4 linked regions of the Lonchura striata genome follow. The protein of the gene in region 4 interacts with the protein of the main gene of each other region in a pairwise test. Links are inferred from orthologs where the notes say so. Each region holds a gene or a part of one and is shown on either strand. Other genes may lie near its edges.

Evidence for each region.
Region 1: the proteins of NIF3L1 (region 4) and DMRTB1 interact in a two-hybrid assay, tested with the Homo sapiens proteins (2 studies listed by BioGRID and IntAct). The two-hybrid records come from large-scale screens. The link is inferred for Lonchura striata from reciprocal best matches to the Homo sapiens genes NIF3L1 and DMRTB1.
Region 2: the proteins of NIF3L1 (region 4) and NATD1 interact in binary tests that used the Homo sapiens proteins (3 or more experiments, as listed by UniProt). The two-hybrid records come from large-scale screens. The link is inferred for Lonchura striata from reciprocal best matches to the Homo sapiens genes NIF3L1 and NATD1.
Region 3: the proteins of NIF3L1 (region 4) and DHPS interact in binary tests that used the Homo sapiens proteins (3 or more experiments, as listed by UniProt). The two-hybrid records come from large-scale screens. The link is inferred for Lonchura striata from reciprocal best matches to the Homo sapiens genes NIF3L1 and DHPS.

Annotation. Positions count from the first base shown.
Region 1 is NC_134611.1:9,254,841-9,262,489, reverse strand, and holds the start of DMRTB1 (doublesex- and mab-3-related transcription factor B1), read left to right. Parts: upstream 1-4,646; coding exon 4,647-5,130; intron 5,131-6,463; coding exon 6,464-6,696; intron 6,697-7,263; coding exon 7,264-7,408; intron 7,409-7,649.
Region 2 is NC_134618.1:15,096,601-15,104,105, forward strand, and holds the start of NATD1 (protein NATD1), read left to right. Parts: upstream 1-4,493; 5' UTR 4,494-4,550; coding exon 4,551-4,647; intron 4,648-7,505.
Region 3 is NC_134623.1:1,585,669-1,592,772, reverse strand, and holds the start of DHPS (deoxyhypusine synthase), read left to right. Parts: upstream 1-4,104; 5' UTR 4,105-4,153; coding exon 4,154-4,366; intron 4,367-4,445; coding exon 4,446-4,607; intron 4,608-4,820; exon of another isoform or gene 4,821-4,848; coding exon of another isoform or gene 4,849-4,851; intron 4,852-5,318; coding exon 5,319-5,440; intron 5,441-5,532; coding exon 5,533-5,629; intron 5,630-6,213; coding exon 6,214-6,300; intron 6,301-6,383; coding exon 6,384-6,489; intron 6,490-6,573; coding exon 6,574-6,677; intron 6,678-6,765; coding exon 6,766-6,891; intron 6,892-6,971; coding exon 6,972-7,073; 3' UTR 7,074-7,104. Other genes in the region: MCOLN1 (mucolipin-1), read right to left, coding at 656-876, 2,570-2,585. UniProt on the Homo sapiens protein: Catalyzes the NAD-dependent oxidative cleavage of spermidine and the subsequent transfer of the butylamine moiety of spermidine to the epsilon-amino group of a critical lysine residue of the eIF-5A precursor protein to form the intermediate deoxyhypusine residue.
Region 4 is NC_134610.1:27,187,832-27,195,803, reverse strand, and holds the start of NIF3L1 (NIF3-like protein 1), read left to right. Parts: upstream 1-4,955; coding exon 4,956-5,391; intron 5,392-6,086; coding exon 6,087-6,249; intron 6,250-6,722; coding exon 6,723-6,849; intron 6,850-7,199; coding exon 7,200-7,338; intron 7,339-7,972. Other genes in the region: PPIL3 (peptidyl-prolyl cis-trans isomerase-like 3), read right to left, coding at 8-134, 418-536, 919-986, 1,615-1,708, 2,477-2,551, 3,724-3,726. UniProt on the Homo sapiens protein: May function as a transcriptional corepressor through its interaction with COPS2, negatively regulating the expression of genes involved in neuronal differentiation.

The sequences.
Region 1 (7,649 bases), on a different chromosome or scaffold from region 4:
ATGGTTTTATTTATTTTGCATTGTTTAAGTTACTTCAGATACTCTGAAATCCAATTCAGATGTGAGGTGGAGAAATGCATTTAGAAAATGTGGGATATGTACCAGTGTTGACAATCACAAATGGAATCCTGCCCACAGCAAGTACACTTGATGTTTGTAGTGGTCTTTCAGCTGTCTCCTGCCTTATCCATCTATTAGCATTGCTTTAGGCTTGCTGACAAGGTAATATGACAATTTCAGCACAAAATAGGTGCCAAACAAAGATGACTCTAAACAGGCCACCTACTTACTGTGGAGAGAGTGACTGTTTCTGCATGAAATCCTTTTTTTGCTGTTTGGGAGAATTCAAATGTGATTTTCTGTTCTTTGTGTCTAAGATAATATGACAAGAACTATGGCTGAGGGGAAGGAGAATGAGGACTTTGGATTAAAAATGTGTTTATTTCTCTAGGCAGAAGACTGATTGACAAGCTGAGTGCTATCCAGTATAAAAGTCACTAAATTTGGGAGCTGACTGAAGTAAAATGGTGCTGTAACTAAGGCACCCCTGCAGCTGCCACAGCACTATCCAAGTGAACTATCCTTTGGGTTTTCAGTTACTCTTTTTTCTATTTATTCCTACAAAGGTGACCTTCTATAGAAACAAAAGATTTCTTCTGAAGGGATAATTATTTTCTTAGACATGGAAAATAAGCAAACAATCAGACTTCAATGATACAGTGATCTTTATTTATTGCAAACTGACTGAACATCTCCCACAGGATTTTTTTTATCATGGATCTATTTTTTTTTTTTTCTAGATAGGGATCTTTAAACATTATCACTTATTTGAGAAAAGCATCCCTGTGTTTGTGTTTGTGTGTGTGTGTGTACTTATGTCTGTCTCACTCTTTTCCCCTTAATGCATTTTATTTCTTGCTTATATGAAAGGCATATTGATGCCTCTCATATAAGAGCTCTCATAAGAGCTGCTACGTGTTTGGTTTCCTTGCTGGTGTTCATTTCTCTCCAAGTCCACCCCACCCTTCTGGAACTCATGAAATATCCAGATCACAGAATTACCAGTTTAATCAATTTTTTCTTTTCTCTTAAATAAAGATCTTGTTACAATAAACTAACAGCAGTGTTTCTAATAAAGTCTCTGCTGTTAATATTTAAGAACTGTTATATGTAAAAAAGATACTCAATTTTAAGTACTCAAGATTCATTTTAGTTGTGTTTGTTAAAGAAACCAGAAGTGCTTATATAACTTTGATACATTTTTAAGACTTTAAAATATGTATAAACTCCATCCAATTTTCTCTGATCACAGCAGAGAATTTCACCTTTTTGATACAGCAGATGAAAGTCAACATCTAATTGTGCTCTGGTTAAAACTGTTTCAAATAAAACAACAATAAAACCCCACACACCTCAGTGGAACTCCTTCTTGCACTACAGAAGACAACATTTTAAAATAAAGGAATTGATGCTGAAATAGAATTGAAAAGTAAAATCTGTGTATTTCAATTTAGAGAACTTAACTGCAACCAGATTTAAAAAAGGTTTAATCCAAACACATTTCATCCATTTCAAATTTTAAGGTAGCTAGGATATAATTATATTGCACTGTTTCTATGCTGCACTTTCCCTCACATTAAAAAAAAAAACAAAGTTTACTACAGTACAATTTCACTCTGATTAGAAAAGTTGAAAATACAGTGTACAGAAGTGCCTGGAAGAAGTTTATTCATTGTCATGTAGGCTTGTTTTGGGCAGGCTCAGCCAACCTCGTGGGCTTGTCAGCAGGGAGCTGAGCCCTGCAGCTCTGTGGCAGCCCTGATGGATGTGTGCTGCTGTGAGCACAGCAGTGAGAGGGGATTTGGTACTGCAGGTCAGCCAGAGCATGTCTGAAACTCTTTCATATTTTTTTACAAGGAGCTTCTAACTATGAGGATGCTAAATATGTTACTTCTTAAAATGATATTCTGGGACAGGTGAAGGTGAGAGTTCTTCATGGGCAGTTCTGCCTCTGCAGCTGTATCTCCACATGTCGATTATGCCCTAGCTGAGTTGTAAACTACACAGTTATAATGGAGAAGACCTGGTAGTAGTACTACTATATCAATTTTTATATCATAACTTATGACAGTCCATAATGGATACTTCAAAACTACAATGATAAAAAGGTAATTTTTGAATAGAGGATTTAACCTTCATATGTGATGTCTTAAAAATTTGAAAGATAGTCTTGATTTTTTATGTATAAGAAAATGTACTTCAAACCAAGTGTGGAAATATTTATTAATGGAGATCTCAGACTGAACAAATTTCTTGATTAAGTTTCTGTTGCTTGAAATGCCAGAACAATTTTCTTGCCACAGAAAAATTTTCTTGCCAAAAAACATTTATTGTATGAATATTAGCTGGAAAGTCTGAGAAGGAGGGGAAAAAAAATAAACCCTAATTTCCTGCTATTCACTTTTATGACAGTCTTTTGATTTGTTCCCTTTTAGCTAAGTCATTGCTTTTCCTCACTGTTCCATGTACAAAGCAAACTGCACACCAAAACCACACACTTTATATGATTCAGAAGTTGGACAGGACTAGAGATATTATTGCTATTTGTTTCAATAACATAAAGTCAGCAAGTTGCCTTCCTTTCATGTTGGCATGATAATAATTCTTATAAATGTTACTTTAATACACAATTCTTTACACATTTTATGTTCTGCTCCCACCATATGTTACATAAAATGCAAGAGAAAACTAAGTTTTGAAGAGTCTTTATTGGGCCTCATTTTCTTTCAAATATGAACAAGTAAGAAAATTATAATAGACATGAAGCTGCATCCAAACACAAATCTACACTTCATTCCAAAAGTGTATTTAGAAATTGTTCTATCTTCTCTCTGCTATGGTCTTCTTACAGTGTGATTAAGCTAACTCAAATATATATACAAAAACATAACAGGATTGGAGTAACAGAATTCTCTGAACTGCCTGCAAAAACAAGGATTTGCCTCACAAGCAAAGCAAAATGTTCACTTTTCTGCAAAAAGCAAGTGTAGTTATGTTTGAAACAAACTATATGGAGACTATAATAAATCTTGAGTGTTTAGATGAAAGTTGTTCAAAATGAAAATCCACATGACTTTGAAAGCAATTGTTTAATTAGTGAAGAAACTGGAACAGCCCATGGCTGGTAAGCCATTTTAGAAAGAGAAGGGATACATTACTGTGTATTTGAGTAAATGTCTTGAAGAATAGTATTATGTGACTCAGAACAGAAAATTACTGGGGAAAATACATGTAGCCTACCTTTCTCCCCCTCTGCTCAAGTATCCAAATGAACACAGATTGGGTATCTATGAAAAGATATAATTACAGCTTTTTAAAATGTGTCATCCATCCTCTTTCATTCTACAGCTAAATTAGCACAACCCAAGCATACAGTAAAAATATGGAGCATAAAATTAAGAATATTTTATCTGTCTATATGTAATAGAGTCCGTGTTTAGAAGGAGTACGGGAAGATCAAGGCCTTGGCAAAATCCTACTGGAAACCTGCAGGACTTAGGTGCAAAGTCTTACTGGGTCTTCTGCAAAGTGAGAAGCCTGGAATCTCGTCTGAGCTTTGGTGGGCACAGGGGCTGGCTGCTTACTGCAAAAAAGAGACTTGTTGACAAACCACACTGTTGCCAAATCCCTAAGGGGCCTGCTCTGCTGGGGCCTCACCCCCCAAGGTGTTGAAGGGTGCACCAAGGCTATCCGGGATTCTTTGCACCAAGGGAAGGGCTTCTGCCAGGTTTGTGAAACAAACTCCATTGCAGTTAGAATTGTTCCAGAGCAAGCAGATAGATTCTGCCTGGCTCTCTTGAAACTTAGTAGAAAGAGTGTCTACTACTTGGTGATTAATTTTTATCGTGTTCTCTTTAACATAGAAGCTATAGCCACCTTAAGATTTTAAAACAGCTGTTGTATAGGTAAGAAAATTTAGCAGTGTAGTGCCTTACGTTGCAAAATGAGGAGTTTTCTCCTGAAATGGGCTATTGTGTAAATCACGGGTTTGCAGCTACCAGCAGTAACAAATATCAAGTGCTTTCAAAGCAATACTAGAACTGGAGCATTCCTGTATTTCTAACTGTAAGCCTGTCTTTGTTTCCAGAGAATAAGGAATTCTGAGAAAAGGAGACAGGTCGTTGGAATGACATATGCTTTCTACCTTTGTCTTAGTAGCTTCTTTTGGAAAACAGAATGATCAAAGTGTTCTTTTTCTGCTGAGGCAGTCACTCCTCCTCATCAAGAGAAGCATGCTGCAAATTGGAAACAAAACGGGACAGCAGTCCCATGCATATTAAAACCGAATGCATGAGAGGTATGAAAGTGGGTGCAGATGTTAAAGTGCCAAAAAGGAAAATTATCTTTTAGGGCACTACTGTAGGGACATGGCATTTCTATCCGTGCACAGCGGGTCCATCCAAACCCCCCACCCCGGCGGGCAGCAGCGCAGAGCAACGTGCCCCCCGCAGCTCCCGCAGGCTCAGCCCCCCGCGGCTGGGCTTCGGCTGCCGCCCGCACCAAAGGGCCGCGGGGGTGCCCGGGGGAGCCGTGCCAGGCGCAGGGCAGGGAGGCTGCGGGACCCGGCGCGCTCCCCACCCGCTGCCATGGGCCCTCCTGCCCGCCGGGCCCGCTTGTTACATCCCCTGTCCCATATAAAGCCAGAGGGCGGGGAGGGCCTGGCGGGGGGTCTGGGCAGTCGCTGCGGTGCCATGGAGGCGGCCGAGGACAAGGCGAAGGCGCTGCGGGCACCCAAGTGCTCCCGCTGCCGCAACCACGGCTTCGTGGTGCCCGTCAAGGGCCACGCCGGGCACTGTCCCTGGAAGCTGTGCCTGTGCGAGAAGTGCTCGCTCATCACCGAGCGGCAGAAGATTATGGCAGCCCAGAAGGCGCTGAGGCAGCAGGAGACGGAGCCGGCGGTCAGGGCGGGCGCGAAGCCCGTTCCGTCGGGCGAGGGCCGTGGGGCGGCTGCCCGAGAGGACGGGGCCCCCGAGCACTGCAGCCACGAGAGGAAGACGGGCGCCCAGCCCGACAGCGGCGGCAAGGGCACGGCATGCTGGGGGCCACCGCCATCTGCCTTCAGGGAGGACGGTAAGGACCTGTCCCCAGAGCCTTTTCCCAGCATCTCCCGCTGTTCGCTTTCCCCTGTCAAAGGCGCCACTTGTGCATTTCGCTGATTCCTCAGGCTCCGGCTGCCCGGGAGCCGCTCCTGCATTCTGTCCCGCTTTCCCTCCCCGGAGGGCACGGGGCTGGCATGTCGGTTCTGCAGCCTCGTCCGCCCCCGATGGCTTCGCGCGGGGCGCAGGGCGGGAACAACGTGCTCAGCCTCGCCGCCCCTTGCGAGCTCGAAGCTTAAGCAAAGTGGCTTTTCACTGAGAGGGAGATTGATCTGGGAGTGCAGCAAAACTGGATCTGCTCTGCTTGTTTCTTTGAGTGCTGTCACAGTGTTTATAAACTCACAGGCACAAAATTACAGCAGCAAAAATGCTAAAAAGCTCAGTGATGGCATGTAAATAGGTACAGTAACTGCTGCAGCTGTCTGTAGCAAGAATTTCATGCTAGCACTGTAGAAGAAAAAGACCTTTTTGCCTTAATTCATACCTGTAACAAAAACTAAATTTGGTTGGGATAACTTGATGTAAAAGTGCATTTGGTATTTAATAGCAGGGCATGCAGTTGTATGGTCTGTCATCTCTTAAATGGCTTCCTTTAGAGTCTTTATTGTGACTTTTCTAATTTATTATAGTAACTCCATTCTATTACTATAAGAATGTTGCAGAAATTCTTACTGATGGCAGTAGTCATGAATCTGAGACTCTGGAGAGTTGCCAGACTGCAAGACAAAATGTTTGTCCTGAGAAGACTTACTTTGGACATCCGTAGTCCTAAGAGAATACTGTTACCCTTTTTAGCTTTGTTTTGTAATAAAAATAAGATTCAAGAAAAAAAGTGAAGTAACTGATTTCTGCTTCAGATTTGTTTGTGTATGAGCCTAAAACTGTGCGTGCTGTAAATTAACCTAAGAAGTGACAGATAGGACTGCGATATTAGAATGCTATAAAGTTAGAACTCGGCTATTTCTGTGGAATTTTAAGTACCACTAGAATCAAAAGTTTAGGTAGGCTGTTTTGCTCCTGTTGATGTACTGAAAGAATAAGATTCTGCAGCCAGTGCTTTACTAAGGACAAACTTCAAAGCACACAACGCAGAAAATAATGCAGAATAACTGCATTACAGTGTCATCTGCTGTACCTTTCCTTAGTTCATTAAAAAAATCACAAAATCAATTCATGGGGAGCTAAACATGAAACCAAAGGACCAGATTCTCCTGTCTGAGAGTGCAATTTTTTCCTGTAGCTACTTCTACATAACTCCATAAAATAACATGGATAATTTTATTTGTTCTTTTCTCACTGTTTCCTAGCTCAGCCTGCTTTTCCTCCAGAATACACTGTCAACCCAGAATACCTGGAGAGAGAAATCCCAAAAGTGTACCCGGGATGTTCTGGGGTATATCCTTACCACCCATTTCCCCTGGGATTTGCCATCAATGAGTCAAGCAGTGGGGAAGCACCATCACCTCCAGGGATATCACTTCAGAGAGGATTCCGACACATTCCTAGCAGCTATGTGCCAGGGAATGCAACCACTGTATCAGTGAGTAGCATGCTTTTAATTACCTGTGCTAATACTGCTTTATTTTAGCTGCCTTCTCTCTGTTGAAGTAACCATGAAGAGTCATTTCCCTTATCAGTTACTTCATACTATTTTGATACCATTGATACATTGGCAAATGATGATGTTAATAATCTGACCTGCTTTCAGTACAGTTCATCAGTTGATGCTAAGGTAGAAAAAAATCAAGACAATAAACAAAACAAACAAACAAACAAACAAAACAAACAAAAAAACCCAATAGATGCTTGTATTGAAATTCCCTGACACGTTTTAGGGGCTACTGAGAAAGAAGATGGCTGCTCCTGGTTTAAACCAACTACTCCAATGAGTTGCTAGAACAGGTGACAAGGACTTAAAAGGGTCAGTTTTCCTCTGATATGGTCTGAGAAGTTCTTGCTCCTCAGTTGCAGCACAGGCTTTCCATGTGTCAATATGTGCACTGACTTGGCAGCATATGGACAAAAACCCAGAAATGGTCTGATAATGCAGATGTATGCTGGAGAGAGTCTTTAGATACAAAGTGATCTGCTTCATGTGTTTCCACAGGTTCCAGATGGAGCTGGAGATTTCTCTCAAGGATACTACACTCCTCTGCATCAGTTCATCCCACCAGGTTTTCTGACAGGGATTCATTACATCCCAGCTCCGGTTTCACTGAACATCCTGGCTGAAACAACCAAGGAGGTACATGGTAAGAGAGAGTCATGTTAACCTGGTTTCAATATCTGAGAACAGAGATGGAAACCCAAGAGACCCTGATCCCAGCTAGTTTTGACCTCTGTGATTGAAGCCAGGCCTGAAGTCCTGACTGGACTGGGCCAGATTGTAGAGCTCTGGGAAGGGCTGACCTAGGGGAGGCAGCCTGCCATGCTTGGGCTTTCCAGCTGACAAGCACCTCAGTCTGAGGCAGATGCCAAAGGCCCCAGGACTCA
Region 2 (7,505 bases), on a different chromosome or scaffold from region 4:
CGGTCACGTTCCGCGGCTGCGGACAGCGGGACAGCAGCGCGGCACTCCCGGCACACGCCGGCACCGGGTCCCGGCCGTGCCCGGACACCGGCACGAGGCGACACGAGGGGACACGAGGCGACACGAGGCGACACGAGGCGACACGAGGCGACACGAGGCGACACAGCCCACGGCCGCAGTCCCAGCCCGCTCCGTCCCTCCCGGCCCAGCCCGGCGGGGGCTCCGCTGGCCCGCGGCTCCCAGCCCGGAGTTCCCGAGCAGCGGGAGCTCAAGGCAGGCAGGCGAAACTCGCGGCAAACAAACACAGCTCGCCTGTTCTTATCGCTCTCCCCACGCCAAACGCAGCCTCGCCCCGTCTCCCCCACCCCGCATCCCCACCGAGGGTTCGCAGCCCCCGGCATCGCGGCTCCGGGACCAGCGCAGAGGAAGCCGCGGGGAGCCCACGCCCGGCGGGCTGGGCAGCAGCCCCGGCCCCGCCGCCCCTCCCGAGCCCGCTCGTACCTCTGGGCAGGGACATGGCGCTGTGCGAGCCCGGCGGGCCCGGCCCCAGCGGCGCCCGCCGGTCCCGCCCGCCGCGGCCCCGCCGGCGGCCGCCCCGCCGGGCCCGCCCCCGCGCCGCCATTGGCCAGCGCCGCGCCGGGGGGCGTGGCCAGGGCCCCGCGCGGAAACGGCTCTGCGGTTCTCGGGCGCGGCTGTGAGGGGGAAGTGAGGCGGGCGGGTGCTGCTGCCCCTCAGGAGAGGTGGCCTCGGTGTCGCCGTCGTGGCCCCGGGGACGCTGCCCCGAGAGCGGCGACACTGCCGCGGGGTTGGGGCGCCGAGCATCCCCCCCTGTGCTGCTCCTCGGCCCTCACCTCCTCTGTCAGCTGAGGGTGGTCACTCACGCCTCCCGTGGGTCCCGCGTGCCGTGGGTGCCAGCGGCGTGTCCGGCTGGGAAATGGCCGGGGAGCCAAGGGAGCGGCCGGAGCTGTGTCAGGGGGGTTTGGGCTGGATATCAGGGAAAGGAAATTCCCCCCAGAAGGTGACCAGGCACTGCCCAGCCTCCCCAGGGGATGGGCACAGCCCCAAGGCTGCCACAGCTCCAGGAGTGTTTGGACAACGTTCCCAGGCATAGGGTGGGATTTGGGGGCCTGGAGTTGGACTGGATGATCCTTGTGTGTCCCTTACAGCTCAGGATGCTCTGATTCCATGGTTAATTCCTCCCTGAGTCACTGAGGAATCAACCCCTCCCAGACGTGGCACATCCTGGGGTAAGGATGCTCCCACAGCCACCCGAGCTGGGCTGCAGGCAGAAATGCTGGATACGATGTGAGAGATGCAGCTGAAAAAGCAAAAAAAATGAGATTCCAAGTGCCATTTTCTGGCTGGAATTCTTCGTGTGATCCATAAAGACCAAAGGAGGAGTTGGAGGGGTGGCAACTGCTGGCAGCACTGGTGAGATCGCAGCTGCTCTGCCACAGCCAGCTCTCAGCTTTGCAGAGAGTTTGGGATAAATCTGAGGACTGGAAAAACCTCCTCAAAGCCAGGCAGTAGAAGGGATTCGCTGCCAGAGGGAAGGAGCTGCAGGAGTTGGGATCTGTGGCTGCACGGGTGCCTCAAGCACCAAAGGCACCAGATCCAGCTGCACACTGAGGGTGGAAGAGCTCAAATGCAACATCAATTACAGGTTTTTAGCGGGGAGAGCAATTACCTTCCCCAGAGAGGTCGCAGATTCGCCACCTTTCAAGTCTTTCAACACAGACGAGGAGGAGTCTTTCCAAAAAAGCCACTGCTCTGCAGCCCAGCCGCGGGTCAGCAGCGCTGATGCAAGAGCTGTGGTGTCAGTGCAGGGCTGGGCCAGCTGAGGGGCCCTTTCTGACCTTTATCCACACGGATCTTGGAGCCAGCAGCGGGGTTTGAACTGATCCACACAGCTCTGGGCTGAGGCAGTGCTTGGGTGTGAGTTTTGGGGGGTCTGTGGCAGAGCAGAGCATCACCAGCTCTTTTACAAATGGGGAGCTGTGGGACCGGCTCTGACAGCTGGCCCTGCTGCTGGCAGCACCTGGGGTGTCACTGCGAGCTTGGGGACATGGCCCTGCTGTCCCCAAATGTGCACCATCCCCCTCCTGCATCCCTGGAGGCTGCTACATCCAGGGCTGGATGAAGCAGTGACTGGATTTGAGTCTCTGGCTCTCAATCCCAGGGGTGAGAGGGGACACACAAGTGTCACCAAGGCTGCCAGGCCTTCCAGCACAGGAGCTCTGCAGGGCACACAGGGAAATTGGGAGCACTCAGCATCCAGATCCAACAGGGTGGGAAGGCAGGGAGCACACAGACCCCCACGAGCTGTGAGGAAGGCACCAGAAGCACCCTCGAGGTCACCTCCCAGCCATGGTAGGGCTTGGGGATCTCCTGGGGGACCTCTCCACCTCTTCTGCAGCTTCCCATGGCTGCTTCTGCCTGCCCCTCCTCGTCTGAGCCGCTGTCCCAGGGAATCAGCACAGGCACAGGATCCCCATGGAGCCCGAGTGCTCACAGAGATTTTGGCAAGTTTTGCTGCAGTTTTGGCACCCATGGAAAGGCTCTCCATGCTTTCAGGGGCTGTAGGTGAACCTTTGGCTCTGGGTCAGGGCGATCACCGAGGGCAGTAAGGTGTTACACTGTGACATGAAATAACTCACAGAAGCAGGTTGGATGTAAAAGGAAAGAAAAAATAACTCAAAAAAGTAAACTTTATTTTCTGACTCTACTATATATACATTAGCAAAAATGGTAGTGGATTGGAGGGTGAAACTGCCACCTCTCCAGCTGCACTGGTCAAGCTAACAGTCTATAAATTCTCTCCACCCACAAAGAAGAATGTAAAACAGTTATTATTTACATGAACATGTGTGAGAAAACTCAGTAGAAATATGTAAATATTAGAAGGCATAGGAACTTTTAGAAGAACTTTAAAACTCTCCAAAGAACAGGGTGACAGTAAGGAGTTGCTCACCCATGTCTGGGCAAAACCTGCTTCTCCTTCCTCCTCTCTCCTAAAACTTCAGCCCTGCTGTGTCCTGAGCATCCCTGTGTGCTGGAGGGCATCAGCCCTCCCTGACAGCTCTGGGATCATGCCAGTTATCCCTCCCCTTCCTCCCTGCCACACGCCAGCCGTGCTGGGCCTGGCTGCTGCAGGCTTTGCATTCCCTGCGCTCCCCTGCTGTTTGTGCCTCCCTGCAGCAGCACACAGCTGCCAGGGAGGGGATGGGGTGAAGGACAACACCTCCTCACCAACATTCATGGAGAAGGAAGGGAATTTACCCCTCTGCCCAGCAGACACCCAGTCCTTGGGGCCAGGCTCGATGGGAGCGGGGAAAGAGCAGGAGACCAGAGCAGAAAACCAGTGCGGGGCCAGTAAAGGACTGGTAAAAAACAGTGCAGGACCAGTACAGAGCCACTACAGAACCGATGTGGGGTCAGTGTGGGACCAGTACAGAACCCGTACGGGACCAGCACAGAACCAGTGCAGAATTAGTGTGGGACTGGTACAGAACAGTACAGAACCCATGTGGGACCAGCACGGAACCAGTGCAGAATTAGCGTGGGACCAGTACAAAACCAGTGTGCAATTAGTGCAGGACCAGAACGGGACCAGTACAGAACCAGTACAGAACTCGTGCAGGACCAGTATGGGACCAGCACAGAACCAGTGTGGAATTAGTGTGGAATCAGTGTGGGACCGGTACAGAACTGGTACAGAAACCGTGTGGGACCAGTACAGAACCAGTGTGGAATTAGTGCAGGACCAGAACGGGACCAGTACAGAACTAGTACAGAACCTGTGCAGGACCAGTGCCGAACCAGCACAGAACCAGTATGGGACCAGCACAGAACCAGTGTGGAATTAGTGCAGGACCAGAACGGGACCGGTACAGAATCAGTACAGAACTCGTGTGGGACCAGTATGGGACCAGCACAGAACCAGTGTGGAATTAGTGTGGAATCAGTGCGGGACCGGTACAGAACCAGTGTGGAATTAGTGCAGGACCAGAACGGGACCGGTACAGAGCTAGTACAGAACCTGTGCAGGACCAGTGCCGACCCAGCACAGAACCAGTATGGGACCAGCACAGAACCAGTGCGGAATTAGTGTGGGACCAGTACAGAACCAGTGCAGAATTAGTGTGAGACCAGTGTGGGACCGGTACAGAACCAGTACAGTTACCTGTGCGGGACCAGTGCCGAACCAGCACGGAACCAGTGCGGAATTAGTGCGGGACCAGCGCCGAACCAGCACAGTACCAGTGACAAATCTGCACAGAACCAGTGCGGAATTAGCACGGGACCAGTACCGAACCCGCGCCGTTCCGGCGGCCGCTGGTGGCGGCGCCGCCCGCGCGGGGGCGCCTGGGCTGCCTGCGGTCCCCACGGCGGCGTTGGCGTTGCCCCTTTAAGGGCCGCGCGGCCGTACCAAAACAAAAGCGCGGCGCGGCCATTGGCTGCGGGGCGGGCACGTGCCGCACAGCTGGGGCTTCCTGCGGCCGCGGCCGCGCCGGGCCCGACCGCGCCTCGGCACCGGCACCGGCACCGCCATGGCGCACTCCGCGCCGCTCGGCCTCCTGGAGCAGGGCTGCCCCATCCAGGTGGAGCACGATCGCAAGCGGCGGCAGTTCACCGTGCGGCTCAACGGTAAGGGGCGGCGCTCGGGGCTCCCGGGACGTTACCGCTGCCCTCCGCCCTCCGCCCCGGTCCGGCCGCGCTGGCCGCTCCGGATCCCCGTTCCTCTTCAGCTCTCGCTGTTCCCCCCCTTCGCCCCACCCCACGTTGTCTCTCCCCCCTTTCCCCTCCCTGTTCTTCCTCCCCGTTGCTCTCCCCTTTTTTCTTCTTCTTCCTGCCCCTTTTTCCCGTTCTCACCGATTTCCCCCGTTTCTCCCGGTTCCCCCTCCTGCCGTGCCGCTGAGTCCCGCTGCATTTCCCCCGTGCTCTCCGCCCTGCCGCGGTGTGACCCCCCGCCCCAGCCCTTCCTGCACCCCAAAACCTTCTCGCAGGGGATGCGGCATCGCTGGGCTCCCTCGCTTGGGGTGTGTGTGCAGCCCGGTGGGGACACGGGCAGCTTGGGGGGCACTGCCCCGGTCCCCCCGGGAGCAGGTGCCTGCGGGGGATGTGGGGGTGCTGGGAACCGGGGCCCCTCTGGGGATGTTCCTTCAGGGAAACCCCAGCACGGTGGGTGCCGCGGTTCTGTAGGACCAACGACACGGATCCAAGCTGTGACAGCCACCTGTGGAGCTCTGGTGACACAGTGACCCCCAAAAAGTCCGTCACATATTGGGTGGAGTGAACAAAGAAAAAAAAAAAGTAGGTGCCACTAAAATTTCTCTGTGGTGCACTGATTCTTTCCCAGCCTTCATCTTAATGGTTAATTACAGATAGTCAACGATCCCGGCATCTCTTTCCCATCCATTTGTCATACTGAGAACTACTCTGGGTAAAACTGCCTCGCTGCCCTGCAGAAATTGCAGGGTAGCTGCCTTAAAAAAAAAAAAAAATAGCATGTAGTTCAGAAATCATAGGGAATGCAGGAGGCTTCGTCAATAAAACAACAAGAATAGTCCAGATTTTATTTTAGACTTCTCTTTCCCCCCACCCCATTTTCATTTCAACCACTAATTACAAAGTGCAGGCTGGAGGCTCGGCAGTGGTGGAGCAAGGAAGGAGGAGACAGTGCAGAGAAAACAATTTCACCAACTGCTTATTTCAGATTTCAGCCTGAGATCAAACGAGATCCCAGGTGCTGGGTCCCCACTGCCACCATCAGAGCATTGTCCCAGCCAGTGAAGTTGGTGTCTGCAGGAAATAGAGGGGACAGCCAAGGGTCAAGAATTATTAGGGAAATGTAATCTTTTATCGTGGTTTTCTGGATAAAAGCTCTGCCAGCCACACCATGGGCCCAGCAGCGTTTGGTGGCTGAGCAGGGATGAGTCGTGACTGGGGAGGGTGAACTTTGAGAGGGAGAGAATCAGCTGTGGGAGTTGTGTGTGAATCAGCACAGAAACTTCTGATTCAGCAGGGGGTCATGGCATCACAGAATCCCAGGATGGTTTGGGTTGGAAGGATCCTAAAGCTCATCTCATTCCAGCCTTGGGCAGGGACACCTTCTGTGTGCCCAGACATGGGCCAGGTTGCTCCAAGCCCCATCCAGTGTGGCCGTGGGCTCACCCAGGTGAACCCCCATGGTCAAGGTTGTGTTTTTTCTGGGAGTTCAGGGAGTCTGAGTCCTTTTTTGTGAGTTCAGCCACGCCAGGCAGCTGAGCTGAGCAGTGTCCTGCTGTGATGGTGGCCGTGCTGCTGTGCTGACTGACTAACATCCACGTGCAGTGGGTGATCCACCTCTCCTCCTCCTTGTCAGGCACTTGCTGGTAGCAGCCAAGCCCTGGAAGCTGGTCAGGAGATAACATCTCTGTGGGAGTGCGTGGCAGGGTGTTTGTTTCCTGCACTGCTCTTTGTTGCTCCTGGCACGATGAGCATCACTGGTGTGGAATGCCCTGGGAGGTTTTCCCTGCAGCAAGCAGGGAATGACAAGAAATGGGTCAGACACAGATTTTAGCATCAAAGTGACCTCCATGTCCCTCAGAGAGCACTCTTGTCCTGTGTCACTGAGCTGTGGTAGAGATGAACAGCAGTTTGTGGGCTTTCAACTTTCCTGTGATGTCCTCATTTCTGCTAAATGTCAAGTGTGGATGATACCCTGGGAAAACATGGATGCAGCAGGCACCAAGCAGCCAGACTTTGACAGCTGGTGGTTTATGGTGGTGTGATGTTGGGTAGAAAACTTTGCATGGTGATGAATTTCTGGAAATCCCTGGAGCAGGAGGCCTGAGATAGTGAAAGCTGTGAACTGCTTGTGAAAGTGTTCGTTTTCAGCATCATCCTGTGCTTGCCTCTGTGCCCCTGTGTGACCTCGTGGCAGGACTTCCTCCTTGTGCACAAGGGAGATGAATTGCACTCGATTTTTCTGGGGCTTGCCCTGTCTTTCCTTTCCCTGCTGGTTCCTCCCTTCTCTCCCCTCATTGCTGCAGTAGCTGCTGAAACTCTGATAGGAGCAGCTGCTTCACTTGAACACGTTCCCTTTCCCCTTGCATCCCAAATGAAGGAGCATTTAGAAGCTGAAAGTAAAGCTGATTATAACCAGACCTCACTGAGCCTCGTTATCCCTGGAGAGGAAGGCAGAAAGACACCCAACTGGATTTGTAATGGGCTAGGATGTGACTAACAGCCTGAGCCAGCCAGAAACCTCCCTGTGCAGAGACTCTCTTGGAAAACATCAATTTGTCAAAGCTAAAAGCTTCCATGGGAATCATATAGGCTGATTTTGTCAGGAATAGTTGGGTGTTTCTTTGGCTCTGAGACAAAATTTCAGGTCAAAACAAGAAACCCAAAAGGACCCCCCATGCCAGAGCAGTTGGCTGGTTGGTGCAGCTGCTGGCACAGATGTTTGGGGCAGGAGAAGAGCTTTTAGCAGCAGCTGCTGTCACTTCTTGATGCCCATC
Region 3 (7,104 bases), on a different chromosome or scaffold from region 4:
TTCACCCCAAAACAGTGTCACTCCATGCTTGGGGACAAAGGCCACCACGGTCAGGGTCTGTCCCACCCTGGTGACACCACCGTGTTTCACCCCATGCTTGGGGACAAAGGCCACCGCTGCCATCAGCCCCTGTCCCACCACGGTGACGCTGCCACGCTTTGTCCCAGGACACTCCGGCGTCCCCTTCAAAGTGTCCCCATGTCCCTGTGTCCCCTCCCTGCTGTCCCCAAGTCCCCATGCCCCCTCCCCAGTGTCCCCATGTCCCCGTGTCCCCTCCCTGCTGTCCCAGCCCCTTGTGCTGCCATCCCCACTGTCCCTGCTGTCCCCAAGTCCCCGTGCCCCTTCCCCTCTGTCCCCACTGGCCATCCCTGCTGCCCACCCCCACTGTCCCCTGTGCCACCCCGCTGTCCTCACTCCCTGTCCCCTGTGCCACCCCGCTGTCCCCTCTGCCACCCCGCTGTCCCCACTCGCTGTCCCCTGTGCCACCCCGCTGTCCCCTCTCCCTGTCCCCTGTGCCACCCCTGTGCCACCCCGCTGTCCCCACTCGCTGTCTCCACTCGCTGTCCCCTCTGCCATCCCCACTGTCCCCACTCGCTGTCCCCTCTCCCTGTCCCCTGTGCCACCCCGCTGTCCCCGTGCCACCCCGCGGTGCCACCTGCACGGTGACCAGGACGATCTTGGCCAGCTGCAGCGCGAGCTTCACGGGCCGCCTGCCGCGGGCGCGGTACTTGTCGCAGGGGCTCATGAAGAAATACTTGAGGCGGCGCCGCAGCTCCTCCTCCTCCTCCTGCTCCTCCTCCTCCTGCTCCGCTCCCGGGACCGGCGCCGCCTCGGCCGTGCCGTACCCGGGGCCGCGGCTCAGCAGCCGCTCGGTCTCTGGGGACAGCCGCGGTGTCACCTCGGTCCGGTGCCCGCCCTGCCCGGTGTCACCCCTGCCCGGTGTGCCCGGTGTCACCGCTCCGGTGCCCACCCTGCCCGGTGTCACCCCTGCCCGGTGTGCCCGGTGTCACCGCTCCGGACCCGCTGTGCCCGGTGTCACCCTCTGCCCGGTGTGCCCGGTGTCACCGCTCCGGTGCCCACCCTGCCCGGTGTCACCCCTGCCCGGTGTGCCCGGTAACCGCTCCGGTGCCCACCCTGCCCGGTGTCACCCCTGCCCGGTGTGCCCGGTGTCACCGCTCCGGTGCCCACCCTGCCCGGTGTCACCCCCTGCCCGGTGTGCCCTGTGCCCGGTGTCACCGCTCCGGACCCGCTGTGCCCGGTGTCACCCCCTGCCCGGTGTGCCCTGTGCCCGGTAACCACTCCGGACCCGCTGTGCCCGGTGTCACCCCTGCCCGGTGTGCCCTGTGCCCAGTAACAGCTCCGGACCCGCTGTGCCCGGTGTCACCCCCTGCCCGGTGTGCCCTGTGCCCGGTAACCGCTCCAGCGCCCACCCTGCCCGGTGTCACCCCCTGCCCGGTGTGCCCTGTGCCCGGTAACCACTCCGGTGCCTGCCCTGCCCGGTGTCACCCCCTGCCCGGTGTGCCCTGTGCCCGGTAACCGCTCCCAACCTCCTGTGCCCGGTGTCACCCCCTGCCCGGTGTGCCCTGTGCCCAGTAACAGCTCCGGACCCGCTGTGCCCGGTGTCACCCCTGCCCGGTGTGCCCGGTAACCGCTCCGGTGCCCACCCTGCCCGGTGTCACCCCCTGCCCGGTGTGCCCTGTGCCCGGTAACCGCTCCGGTGCCTGCCCTGCCCGGTGTCACCCCCTGCCCAGTGTGCCCTGTGCCCGGTAACCACTCCGGACCCGCTGTGCCCGGTGTCACCCCCTGCCCGGTGTGCCCTGTGCCCGGTAACCACTCCGGACCCGCTGTGCCCGGTGCCACCCCCTGCCTGGTGTGCCCTGTGCCCGGTAACCGCTCCGGTGCCCACCCTGCCCGGTGTCACCCCCTGCCTGGTGTGCCCTGTGCCCGGTGTCACCACTCCGGACCCACTGTGCCCGGTGTCACCGCTGTCCCCGTGTCCCCCCGGACCCGTTAACCCTACCCCGGCCGGTTCCCGGTAATCCCGACCTCGTGTCCCGCTTGTCCCGTTCTCATTCACGGTCCCTGTCCCCGTTCCCGGTCCCCATTCCCGGTCCCATTCCCGGTTCCTGTCCCCGTTCCCTGTCCCCATTCCCGGTCCCATTCCCGGTCCCGATTCCCCGTCCTCGTTCCCTGTCCCCATTCCCGGTTCCATTCCCGTTCCCTGTCCCAATTCCCGTTCCCGTTCCCGCTCCCCATTCCCGGTCCCCATTCCCGGTCCCCATTCCCGTTCCCGGTCCCCATTCCCGGTCCCATTCCCGGTCCCATTCCCGGTCCCATTCCCGTTCCCGGTCCCCGTTCCCGGTCCCATTCCCGGTCCCATTCCCGTTCCCGGTCCCCATTCCCGGTCCCCATTCCCGGTCCCCGTCCCCGTTCCCGGTCCCCGTTCCCGGTCCCCGTTCCCGGTCCCGCTCCCCGTTCCCTGTCCCCGTTCCCTGTCCCCGTTCCCGGTCCCCGTTCCCTGTCCCCGTTCCCGGTCCCCGTTCCCGGTCCCCGTTCCCGGTCCCCTCACCGGACGCCGCCGCCATCGCTCCGACCCCGTCCCGCCCCTCACGTGACCGGGCAAACCCCGCGCTGCTCCCGCCCACCAATCCCAGCGCGCGATGACTATCGGATTTGCATAACCCCGCCCCTCGCCCCGGCCCCGCCCACTGCCGCCTCCGGGCGCGGTTCGCTCCCAGTTCCTCACAGTGTTCCCAGTAAGGGCGGTGCTGGGAGGGAAAGCGCTCCCAGTTCCTCACAGTGTTCCCAGTTCCCTCCCAGTGCTCCCAGTAAGGGCGGTGCTGGGAGGGAAAGCGCTCCCAGTTCCCTCCCAGTGCTCCCAGTTCCCTCCCAGCGCTCCCAGTTCCCTCCCAGTGCTCCCAGTAAGAGCGATGTTGGGAGGGAGAGCGCTCCCAGTTCCCTCCCAGCGCTCCCAGTTCCCTCCCAGTGCTCCCAGTAAGAGCGATGTTGGGAGGGAGAGCGCTCCCAGTTCCCTCCCAGTGCTCCCAGTTCCCTCCCAGCGCTCCCAGTTCCCTCCCAGTGCTCCCAGTTCCCTCCCAGTGCTCCCAGTTCCCTCCCAGTGCTCCCAGTAAGGGCGGAGCTGGGAGGGAAAGCGCTCCCAGTTCCCTCCCAGCGCTCCCAGTAAGGGCGGTGCTGGGAGGGAAAGCGCTCCCAGTTCCCTCCCAGCGCTCCCAGTTCCCTCCCAGCGCTCCCAGTTCCTTCCCAGCGCTCCCAGTTCTCTCCCAGCGCTCCCAGTTCCCTCCCTCCCTCCTCGACAAAGCTGCCAGCCTGTAACCCTAACCCTAACCACAACCATTCCACTGGTCCCAGAAATCACAGCTTTCACACCATGGGACCTGACCCACTGCCCCTCCACTGGCACCTTCCCGAAGCATTCCGCTGCATTCCAGGAATACTCCGCATTTTCAGCGGGTATCCCGTCTGACCCTCATCCTGACCTTAAAAATACACCAAGGAATTCTAAAACAGCTATTAGGAAGATGTAACAAATCCCAAAAAGCCTTCAAAAATCCCCTAAATATTCCTAATAGTCCTCAAAAAAAAAAAAAAAAAAAAGAAAGAAAAGAAAAGAAAAGAAAAGAAAAGAAAAGAAAAGAAAAGAAAAGAAAAGATAACTCAAGGAAGCCTGCTCAGTCTCCAAACCCCTTCCTGTTGCTCTCTAGCCCACAGATGTCATCCCTATCTTTTTGCAGCGGGTCCTGTTGTCCTCTGAGGGTTCTGGCTCCTTTCCCCCTCGGCACTGTCCAAATTTCGGGGTTCCCTCGGTGTTAACGGCGCCTTTTCGCATCCGCCACCTTCTCGTCCCTCCGCGGCCGCCGTCCTTTTAAGATGGCAGCGCGCGGCTGTACGGCAAAGGCGAGACGGGCGGGCTGAGCAAGATGGCGGCGCGCTGCCGTACGGCACGGGGCTGTACGGCACGGGGGGGAGGCGTGGCCCAAGATGGCGGCGCGCTGCCGTACGGCGCGGGGCTGTACGGCACGGGGGGGAGGCGTGGCCCAAGATGGCGGCGCGCTGCCGTACGGCGCGGGGCTGTACGGCACGGGGGGGAGGCGTGGCCCAAGATGGCGGCGCGCTGAGCGGGCCCGGCCGAGCCATGGCGGCACCGGGAGAGGCACCGGGAGAGGCGCCGGGAGAGGCGCTCCGGGCCGTGCTGCGGCCCAGCGGGGCTCTCCCGGCCGAGGCTCTCCCGGTGCGCGGCTACGACTTCTCGGGAGGCGCGGACCACGCGGCGCTGCTCCGCTCCTTCCGCACCACCGGCTTCCAGGCCACGAGCTTCGCGCAGGCGGTGGCGGAGATCGAGCGGATGGTGCGGGAGATGGGGGCGCGGTGGTACCGGGACGGGGATCCGGGCTCGGCCCGAGCTTCCCGGGGCTTCCTTCCCGCAGATCGCGGCCAAGCTGGAGCCGCTGAGCGCGGAGCAGCGGGAGCGAGCGGCCATGGCCGGGCCGCGGCCGCCCTCGGGCTGCACCATCTTCCTGGGCTTCACCTCGAACCTGGTCAGCTCCGGCGTCAGGGAGAGCATCCGCTACCTGGTGCAGCACGGCATGGTGACAGCCTGGGGACAGCCTGGGGACATGGGGACAGTCTGGGGACATGGGGACAGGGACAGGGAGAGCATCCGCTACCTGGTGCAGCACGGCATGGTGACAGCATGGGGACAGGGGACAGGGACAGGGGACAGCCTGGGGACATGGGGACAGCATGGGGACATGGGGACAGGGACAGGGGACAGCATGGGGACATGGGGACAGGGACAGGGAGAGCATCCGCTACCTGGTGCAGCACGGCATGGTGACAGCCTGGGGACAGCCTGGGGACAGTGTGGGGACAGGGACAGGGTGGGGACATGGGGACAGGGACAAGGGACAGGGAAGTCCCTGGGGTCCCTGTGAGGTTCCAGGAGGGGTCAGGGGGGTCCCTGTGAGGTTCTGGGATGGTCAGGGGTGTCCCTGGTGTCTCTGTGATGTTCCAGGGGAGGTCAGGGGGGTCCCTGGCATCCCTGTGAGGTTCTGGGGGGGTCCCTGTGAGGTTCTGGGATGGACAGGGGTGTCCCTGGTGTCCCTGTGAGGTTCTGGGGGGGTCCCTGTGAGGTTCTGGGATGGACAGGGGTGTCCCTGGTGTCCCTGTGAGGTTCTGGGGGGTGTCCCTGGTGTCCCTGTGAAGTCCTGGGGGTGTCTCTGGTGTCTCTGTGAGGTCCTGGGGCGGGTCAGGGGGGTGTCCCCAGGTGTCCCCCAGGTGCTGACCCCCTCCCTGGCCAGGTGGACGTGCTGGTGACCACGGCCGGGGGGGTGGAGGAGGACCTGATCAAGTGCCTGGCGCCCACCTACATCGGGGACTTCCAGCTGCGGGGCCGGGACCTGCGGCACAACGGCATCAACAGGTCCTGGGGGTGGGCGTGGGGGGCTGGGACCCCCTTGGGGACACCCCGGGGACACCTCAGGGTCACCTCGGGGTGGCCTCGGGCTCCCTCAGGATCGGGAACCTGCTGGTGCCCAACGATAACTACTGCAAGTTCGAGGACTGGCTGATGCCCATCCTGGAGACGATGGTGGACGAGCAGGACACGCAGGTGAGGGGTGGGGGACCCCCCAAATCGGGACCCCACAGTGCTGGGAAGGGGCTTTAGGGGGTACCTGGATAGCTGGGGGGGATTTTGGGGGGGTCCTGGATAGCTGGGGTGGGATTTTGGGGGTCCCTGGACACCTAGGGTGGGGTTTAGGGGATCCCTGGACACTTAGCGTGGGATTTTAGGGGGTCCCTGGACACCTAGGGTGGGATTTTGGGGGTCCCTGGACACCCGGGGTGGGATTTTGGGGTTCCCTGGACACCCGGGGTGGGATTTTGGGGGTCCCCAGACACTTAGCGTGGGATTTCAGGGGGTCCCTGGACACCTGGGGTGGGATTTTGGGGCTCCCTGAATACCTGGGGTGGGATTTTGGGCATCCCTGAATATCTGGGGTGGGATTTTGGGGTTTCCTGGACACCTGGGGTGGGATTTTGGGGGTCCCTGAATATCTGGAGTGGGATTTTGGGGTTTCCTGGACACCTGGGGTGGGATTTTGGGGGTCCCTGAATATCTGGGGTGGGATTTTGGGGTTTCCTGGACACCCGGGGTGGGATTTTGGGGGTCCCTGCTGAGCCGGGTCCCCGCAGGGCGTGCGGTGGACGCCGTCCCGGATGATCGCCCGGCTGGGCAAGGAGATCAACAACCCCGACTCCATCTGCTACTGGGCCCAGAAGGTACCGGGGGGTGGGGGGGACACTTTTGGGGTGACATTTGGGGGGCACTGGGGGGGTGTCACCGCGTCCCCCCCCTTTGGCAGAACAACATCCCGGTGCTGAGCCCGGCGCTCACCGACGGCTCCCTGGGCGACATGATCTTCTTCCACTCCTACAAACGCCCGGGGCTCGTGCTGGACATCGTGGAGGGTAAGTGGGGCGCCCCACCGGATTTTGGGGTGCCCTGAGGGGCTCCCTGAATCCCCCCAACACCGAAACCTCGTCGACCCGCAGACCTGCGCCTCATCAACACCCAGGCCATCTTCGCCCGCAAAACCGGCATGATCATCCTGGGCGGGGGTCTGGTCAAGCACCACATCGCCAACGCCAACCTCATGGTGAGAGTGGGGGACCCCCCAACGACGGGGAGGGGGTTTTTGGGGACCCCCGAGGCGGGGCCGGGGGTCTCACCCCGGGTGTGCGCAGAGGAACGGCGCCGATTTCTCCGTCTACGTCAACACGGCGCAAGAGTTCGACGGCTCCGACTCGGGCGCGCGGCCGGACGAGGCCGTGTCCTGGGGCAAGATCCGCGTGGACGCCACGCCCGTCAAGGTGGGGGGCGATTTTGGGGGGATTTGGGGGGATTTTGGGGGGTTTCCTTCCCCTCCCGTCACCCTGCTGCTCTCGCTCAGGTCTACGCCGACGCCTCGCTCGTGTTCCCGCTGCTCGTGGCCGAGACGTTCGCGCGGAGCGCCGACGCTTTCGGGGGGCCGGCGGCGACCCCCGAGGCGTGAGGGACCCCCCAAAGCCTGGGGACCCTCAAGA
Region 4 (7,972 bases):
TCTGTGGCTACAGTGCAAAAGGGTTGGCATGAATTGTAATGTCTTTAATGCGAACATCATTAAGAGGTCGATAGGTTTTCTCATTCACAGGCAGCTTCTCCAGCTCATCCAGGGTCTCCAAGCCATCAATAACTCTGCCAGAAAAACACAAGAAAATTGCCTTCTAATAATGCTTTAAATTTCACTGTTGATGTGTGTCAAAACATTTTACAGTCAAGTATCACAAGGCAGGGACTTTGCAAGCAAATGATACAAAATAAGACAACCAATACATTTTATGTGGCAAATAATGTACTTTGAAAGGGATTATTAAGCATCCACGACAGACTCTGAGAAGAAGTTCAAGCATTTGCATGTGCCCTGAAATACTCAGATCTCTCACACACTCTGACAGAGGCGTGCAGTTGAATCACTTACTTTCCAAACACCGTGTACTTCATGTCCAGGTGAGGCTGTTTGCCGTAAGTGATGAAGAACTGTGATCCATTGGTGTTGGGACCATTGTTTGCCATGGAAACTACCCCACGGACACTGTGCTGAACAAGGGGAAAAACCTCAGCATGAATACACATCTGTGAAACCAGAACTAACCTGGGCAAAGTGCTCTATGACTTAGAGCTCTTCCTCAATTATTAAGAACAAATCTTGGTTGCTAATATATTCTATCACAGTCAATAATTAGCTGCTCAGAATGGCTCTTACAGTGAAAAACTGCTTCTTTGCCCACTACATGAAAAATGCTGTCAGAAATTCTCTTTACTTCTGCTTTCTGTGATGAAAACTCTCAAATCTCACTTGCCAAGCACAGAAATGCCTGTTCCTATTATAATAATAAGCTATTGTTCTCCAACCAAGAGAAAATTATTGCCGAGAAAATTAAAATGAAAACATAAGTGCATATTGAGAGCACATAAATACCTTTAGATATTCACTGAATTCATCTTCAAACTTCTTGCCCCAGATGCTGTTACCTCCTTTCCCAGTGCCTGACAAAGAAGCACCACAGTAGAAATTACTGGATTTTCAGACTGAAAAACCCAGAAATTATGTTTGTTCTGTTACAGCATTTTACAACAAAGAGTCCAGACAGCCTGCAATTAGTCTGAGGCAGGCTCTTGATACTGCACTAAGACATAACTCTATATAAGGAATCTATTAAGTAGCAGAACAAAACACTGACACATCCTCAAATTAAATTCAGTATGAGTATGAACAGACACAACTGAATCAGCTTTTCTCCCAAACAGCTGACACCGTCTGGGACGTTTTCCCCAAATGATTTAGATGCAGCCTTTCAGGCAGAAACCACACAAAGCACATTAGTACCTGCTTCTAATTTAGTCAACAGAACCATCATATTTAGTGAAAATAGCTGCTAAAACTCAAGTTTGTAGAATGCATAATTACTTAAAACTGGGGTAATGCCTGCACTTCTGTAAGCCCTCCACAAAAAAAACCCCTCATCATAAAAAAACTCTTATCAACAATACAATAATTCTTTTATTTTTATTTTACTTACGTTTTAGTTTTAATACCCATAATTCCTTTTTATTTCCTTACATTTTATTTTTATGTACATTTTTTCCATAGAAAGACCCAGACAGAAGAATTTACCTAATGGATCCCCTGTCTGAACCATGAAGCCCTTTATATTTCGGTGAAATACGCATCCATTGTAGTAGTTACTAGCACAAAGAGCCAGGAAATTCTACAAAAATCAAACAAACCATATTAACAACTGAAAAATAGTATTATCTTACTAAAATGACAGCATTGGCAAGACCAGTGCTTTTACCTCTGCCTTGCTTTGTGTGAATTCCACAGACTTTTGCTGCAGAGTAGTCATAAACAAATCATAGATAATAAACTCCTTTGATAGTGTCACACACAAAGAATACAAAGCTTTCAGTGCAAGGCTGTCTGACTTGAGGAACAAACAAGAAGCCTAAGACATTCTCTCAAATATCATTCCCATTCAATAATTTTATTTGGCACATGTAATTTTGTAATCAATAACTTAATGCCTCAGCTTTTTCATTAAAATAAATGCATTTTATTTCAATTTCAATTTATTGCAAAAATTCAAAACTGGGGTGCCTGACAAACCGTGAGTCTCACTCTTTCAAACTAAAATCAAGTCTGTGGGGATATGAGTAAACCCATGGAAATTTGGGAATCCTAGGCTGGGTGCTGTATTTTGCCTTAAAGGCAAAGGACACTTTGGGAGATGCTGGAACTTCAAAAGAAGCACCCCTTAACTAAACCTTATCAAGAGAGAAACAGGCATGAAACTCCAGTCAGTATGACAGAGTGCACAAGTTCCATGATTGGAACAGACACTACACCAGCTTAAAATGTTGGCGTTCCATTACATGAAAAGGTAAAATTGCAAAAGCTACTTCACCTCCTTCACAGGCTTGACTATTGCTACTGCTGTTTCACCACTAGGCAATCCTACTCCTGGTGTGTGACTTACTTCACAAGTCTTTGGAGTACGCTCACAGAACAGTTCAATTTTAATATCTCCCACATCCGTATGCAGTGTGACAGCCTGAGCAAAAGGCAGAAAACAGTAAATAAATCAGCAATAAAATACTAACATACACTGTTTTATTTCCCAGTCCCATCAAGAACATAAGTAAGTTTGCACTGCATTGAAGTTTGCAGTGCAAACTGCAAGTTTCACTGTTTCAACATTTGGCTATAAGCAAGGTTACTGTCACAACCAATCCACATTTCCAGTGAAATCACCAGAAAGCACTCAGTTTCATTTAGTTTCAGGACAAATCAAGTTTGCCATGGTAATGCAGTACCTGTTGCATGCTCCACTCCAGAAATACATTATTCATTTGCCAACTCAGGGCCTACTCAGTCACTTGAAAGTAAAGGTGAAGAATCAAGTTTGTATCTATTTTGGATGGTGCACACACCGCGCTGCTTTACAACTAGAGAAGCAACTGATGCCTGCAGCCTTTTGATTAATAAGGCTAGTTCTGAATGGCAGAATGTATAATGTGCCTTCACAGATAAGTAAATCTCAAAATTTAACTTATAAGTTCTTAAGAAAAGTAAGTTACCTTCATAAAATTTAAAATCAGCTTACCCAGTGACGTAAGCAAATTTATCTCTACAGGACATATATATTACAGTGCTTCTATGGAAAGTGCTAAACTATGCAAAAACAATTACTGTGGGGATAGCTGTACAGCAAAACTAATTAAAATCAGCATCACATTGATACTGGCATACTGCTCCAAAAGTATACAAGTAAAGGAGATAGCTGTCCACAATGTCCACGAAGATCCTATAGAAGGTGTATGATCAGTTTAAGACATATATATCTATTTCTCAAATTGCTAACTTTTTAAAAGCCTCTGAGCACAGAGGTTTACATACACTGAATCAGAGGTATGTTCTTGCAACTAGACTAATGCTTCTGTGGCAAAAGAAACCAAACTAGATTATCAAATACATGCCAAAGTAGCATTAAAATCTGGGATCTCTAAAGTGAAAGCATAATGATGTGTTAGACTAATGTAAATCAACCTATTTTCCTTTTCATAGTATCTTTTTATAAGTTTGAAATGAAAACCCTGAACTTTTCATGAAAAATTACTCACAGCATCAGAGTAAAACGTGTAATCCTTTGAGACGGAGAGAAGCTATTCGCTTTCCAAGAGATGACCATTTCAGAAAACATATAAAATGTGCTTTTATTCTTACCATGCCTGCTTATCAAAATCTGAGGTAGCCTTCTATACAGCAACTTCCTGTAAACATAAGAACTTTGTTGGGTTTTTTCCTACCAACCCCCATATGGTTTTGATTCTAAAATATTTGTTGGTTACATGCTTTTCCACCACACAGTTCTAGGGTGCCATTCCAATGACTCTGTGGCTAAATTTTTGCATTGAGCAACTACACAGCATAGAAAAAATGAAAAACTACTAGAACAAGACCACTTAGAGAACGGGGAAGAGGGTAAAAACACTCGTTCCTAGGATGAAAATTCATACCAAGCAATCAGTTTTTGCAAGTATTGTGGCAGTCGGCAGAACAGCAGATGGCAGAAATTCATAGGTAAAAGCCACATGCCACTACCTAACAGATGCGTGATTTGGGGCCAACTCATGACAGCTGTGAGTGCTTGAAACAGACAGGTACCTGCACGCAACCACAGGATCAGACTTTTTAACTTTGTAATACTTTCAATTAAAGTGTTTAAAATGCCGGCAATAAAAGCGCGGCTACATAGAAGCCGAGATATATATTTAAGCGACAATAGGTTCACTATACACCCGCCCTCGCCGGTGAAGCCCCGGTCCCGTGTCCCCACCTCAACCCACCTGTCCCCGCTCCCCGTCACCCACGGCAGCCGGAGCTACCGCTCCCTCCCTGCCCAGGTACCGCCACCGAAATGCCGCGCACAGAACAGCTGGGCTCCTCCACCGGCGGCACCGCCGCCCGCCGCGCTCGGAGAACGCCTGAACCTGCCGGGGCTGACGCGGACCCAGCCCCCGCCGGGGACAAGCGGCGGCGCTCCCGCGGGCCTCCGCTCCCTCCCGGCGCTACCGAGGGGCCGCCCCAGCCGCGCTGAGCACGGCGGAAGCGGCGGAGCCGAGCGCAGGTCCCGCCCCGCCGCGCCGGCGCTGCCCCGGCGGGAGGTGAGCGAGGCCGCCGAGGAGGGAGCGCCTGTGCGGCCGGGCTCTGCGGGTCGGCCGTGCCGCGGGAAGAGGGGCGGAGCTTGAGCTCCGCGCGCTTGGTGCTGGCCAGCGGGGCGGCGTGTGCGGGAGCCCCGGGGTGGGGAGGGGCTCGGTACCGGGTGGTACCGGGTGGTACCGGGTGGTGCCGGGGGTGGGCGGGCGCAGCGTCCACAACCCGAGCGGCCGTGGCTGCTGTTTGCCTGGTGGGTTCCCGGGGCTCACGGCGGCCTGTTTGCCCCGCACAGGTCTCGCATGCTGCTGTCTGTGCCGCCGCTGCTCCGCCCGCCTCTCCACCGCGTCTGTGCCTTGGGCCGCCCGCCCGTACGCGCCCTCATGAACCTCCGGGAGCTCGTTTCTGCTCTGAATGACTTCGCATCCCCCGCTCTGGCTGAAAGCTGGGACAATGTGGGATTGCTGGTGGAACCAAGTCCTCCCCACACTGTGAACACCCTTTTCCTCACTAACGACCTCACTGAGGAGGTGATGGAAGAGGCAGTGCAGAGGAAAGCAGACCTCGTTCTTTCTTACCACCCTCCTATATTCGCACCACTCAAGCGAATAACGTGGAAAACCTGGAAGGAACGGCTGGTGGTCCGAGCCTTGGAGAACAGAATCGGGATTTATTCTCCACATACGGCGTACGATGCCATACCTCACGGAGTTAATAACTGGCTAACAAAGGGACTCGGTGAGATTCTGTTAAGAGCAAACAAGTTAAAATTATTAAAGATGTATGCTATTTTAAGTGGGATCTTTCATCATTTGCCTTCTAGCTTTTACAGGTGTGATTTGAGGATTGTTTTTATTTTTCCTAATATTTTTATGGTACTGTAACCTTAAATACATTTTAGGACATTTTTCTTGGTGGTATATACCAGATAACAACATAATAGTTTTAGATGTATGACTCTACTATTGGATGTGTCTGTAACTGGTGGCGCATATATATTGTCCACTGTAGTTGCAATTCTGATACCAATGACTTTAAATCACCACCTTGAAAGTATGAGATCTCAATATTTGCAAAGCATTTAAACTATGTGAAGTTATTTTAGATTTTTATCCTGTATTGTGGCTCACAGATTACAATAGCTGCATCTTTTCCAGTCTGTTATACAAACTAGGAACTCCTTCTGGTTTTGGACAATCCTTAGGATAAAACTGATGGCATTGAGACTGGCAGATAATACATATCCATCTTTGGACTTAAAACAGACTGTGCCTAATGGAGACAGAATGAAAAGCCTCAGTTCTAGTCAGGAAAAAAGGATTTGAGTGCAAAATTTGTACCTTTTGTGCTGCATCTCTATAAGGTATGTGCCAAATCAGTGTTAGGATACCTACCCTGCTTTATAAACCAGCAATCTTGTACTGTTTTCTCAGGCACCTGTACTTCTGTCCCACTGCATCCATCAACTGCACCAAGCTCTCCAGCTGAGGGCACTCACCGGGTAGAATTCTGTGCAGATGCTGAGCATCTGGATGCAGTGCTGTCCAAAATCAAAGACATCCCAGAGATCTCTTGTCTCACTACTCTCCCAGCCAGGTATCTGCTCCACTCTCTAATGTTGTATTCTTCCTGTTATTTGAAACAATAAGTTGCTGTAATTGTATTTTACTGTTCTAATAATTTTGTTCCTCTGTGCATTGCTGCTATGTTTTTCAGCAACTGAATAACAATCTTAAGGAATAGTTGTCCCTTTCCGGTCAATCTATGTCATGCTAAAAGGTAATAGCAACTCCAGTTTAGCATCACATAGATTAGGGGTGTTAAAAAAGAGTATTAACCAGAAATTTGATCGGGACAGGTGAGTTAAATTCCCATATTTGTTTTTTCCAAGACAAGTCTAGGCTATTACAATGCTGCCTTTTTTCCTTTCTCAGTGTTAGAACAGCCACTGGGATAAAATAATAATAATTATAATGCCAAAACTAATAATTATAATACTCTAATATAGTAATTACAATTCCAAAATTTTATCTAGCTTCTTAACAAGCACCAGGCATATCTTTCCTCAGGGTTGAAGGTCAGGAGCAAACACGAGTCAGTCTCAACTGCTCTCAGAAAGCACTGCTGGAGGTGGTGGCATTATTGTCCCAGAACAGCCTTCTTTATCACAAGACCGAGATTCTCTTACTACAGAAGGTAACAAAATCACAAAATTACTTCCTGTGAATGTATTACTTGTGTGAGCTGAATGCAGTAGTCAGTGGCATCACAGCTTTCCAGTGCTACCCCAGTGCTCCGACATACAGGCATACGGGAATTTGAAGCCACACACATTTTCCAAAGCAATGAAACTATCTATGTGGTCTGTACTAATTCTTAAATCAGTTCCAATAGCTGGTGTAGTTGATATGTTACATTTGAGAACATCACATAAATACTTTTTTGTAAAGTTCAGTGTTGCTCCTGCAAACCAAATATACTCATCCTGTTAAAGTGTGGAAAGCACATGGAGTCAACTTTCTCACGGTAATTTAAATTTTTTTCAGCCTCTTCTTCCCCATACTGGAATGGGACGCCTGTGCACCCTGAGCGAGCCAGTCTCCTTGTCAGACATAATTGAGCGTGTCAAAGGCCACCTGCAGCTCCCCCACGTCCGCGTAGCCGTGGGAGCTGGCAGGACACTCGGTAAATGGGCCTGCAAGCCAGAATGCCTGCTAGGACTGGCACTGCAGGAACACAGGGAGCATGAGTGTGTGAACAACACTGGGAAACACTGCTGCCTTTACCACGTTTACCTCCAAGAACTAGGAAGCACTGTTAAGAAATAGCATCTTAGAATTTACGGTCATGTGAAGTCTCATCTGTATTTTAATCGGATTCCATAGTACGCTGGTTGACGTGGTAGAGACTGAACAAATTGAAGGAAAGATAGCATTTTTTGTAATTTATATAATGACTAAATTTTTTATTTTCCTGCCCAGGATATCAGGCCCAAAGGTGTACTGTTTCATTTTATGTTCCCTTTTGTGACTGAATGTTAAAATTCAGAGCACTCTAAGAGTAAGACACTTTATGGTATCATGAACACAGAACTGTGTTTTGATGAAAGATAAGATAAAGAAGGTAAACTAACTCAAACAGTGGAGTCATTAGTAAGATGTGGAGTAAACATCCTCTTAATCCCAGCTACCTATCCCAATGTCCAAGGAGCACAGCTGGTAGAATTTGTGAGAGTAAATTTGTTGAGACAGAAATCTTATTAGACTGACAATTGCACTAAAAAATATATGTCACTGTCATATATGTAATAGCTTGGAAT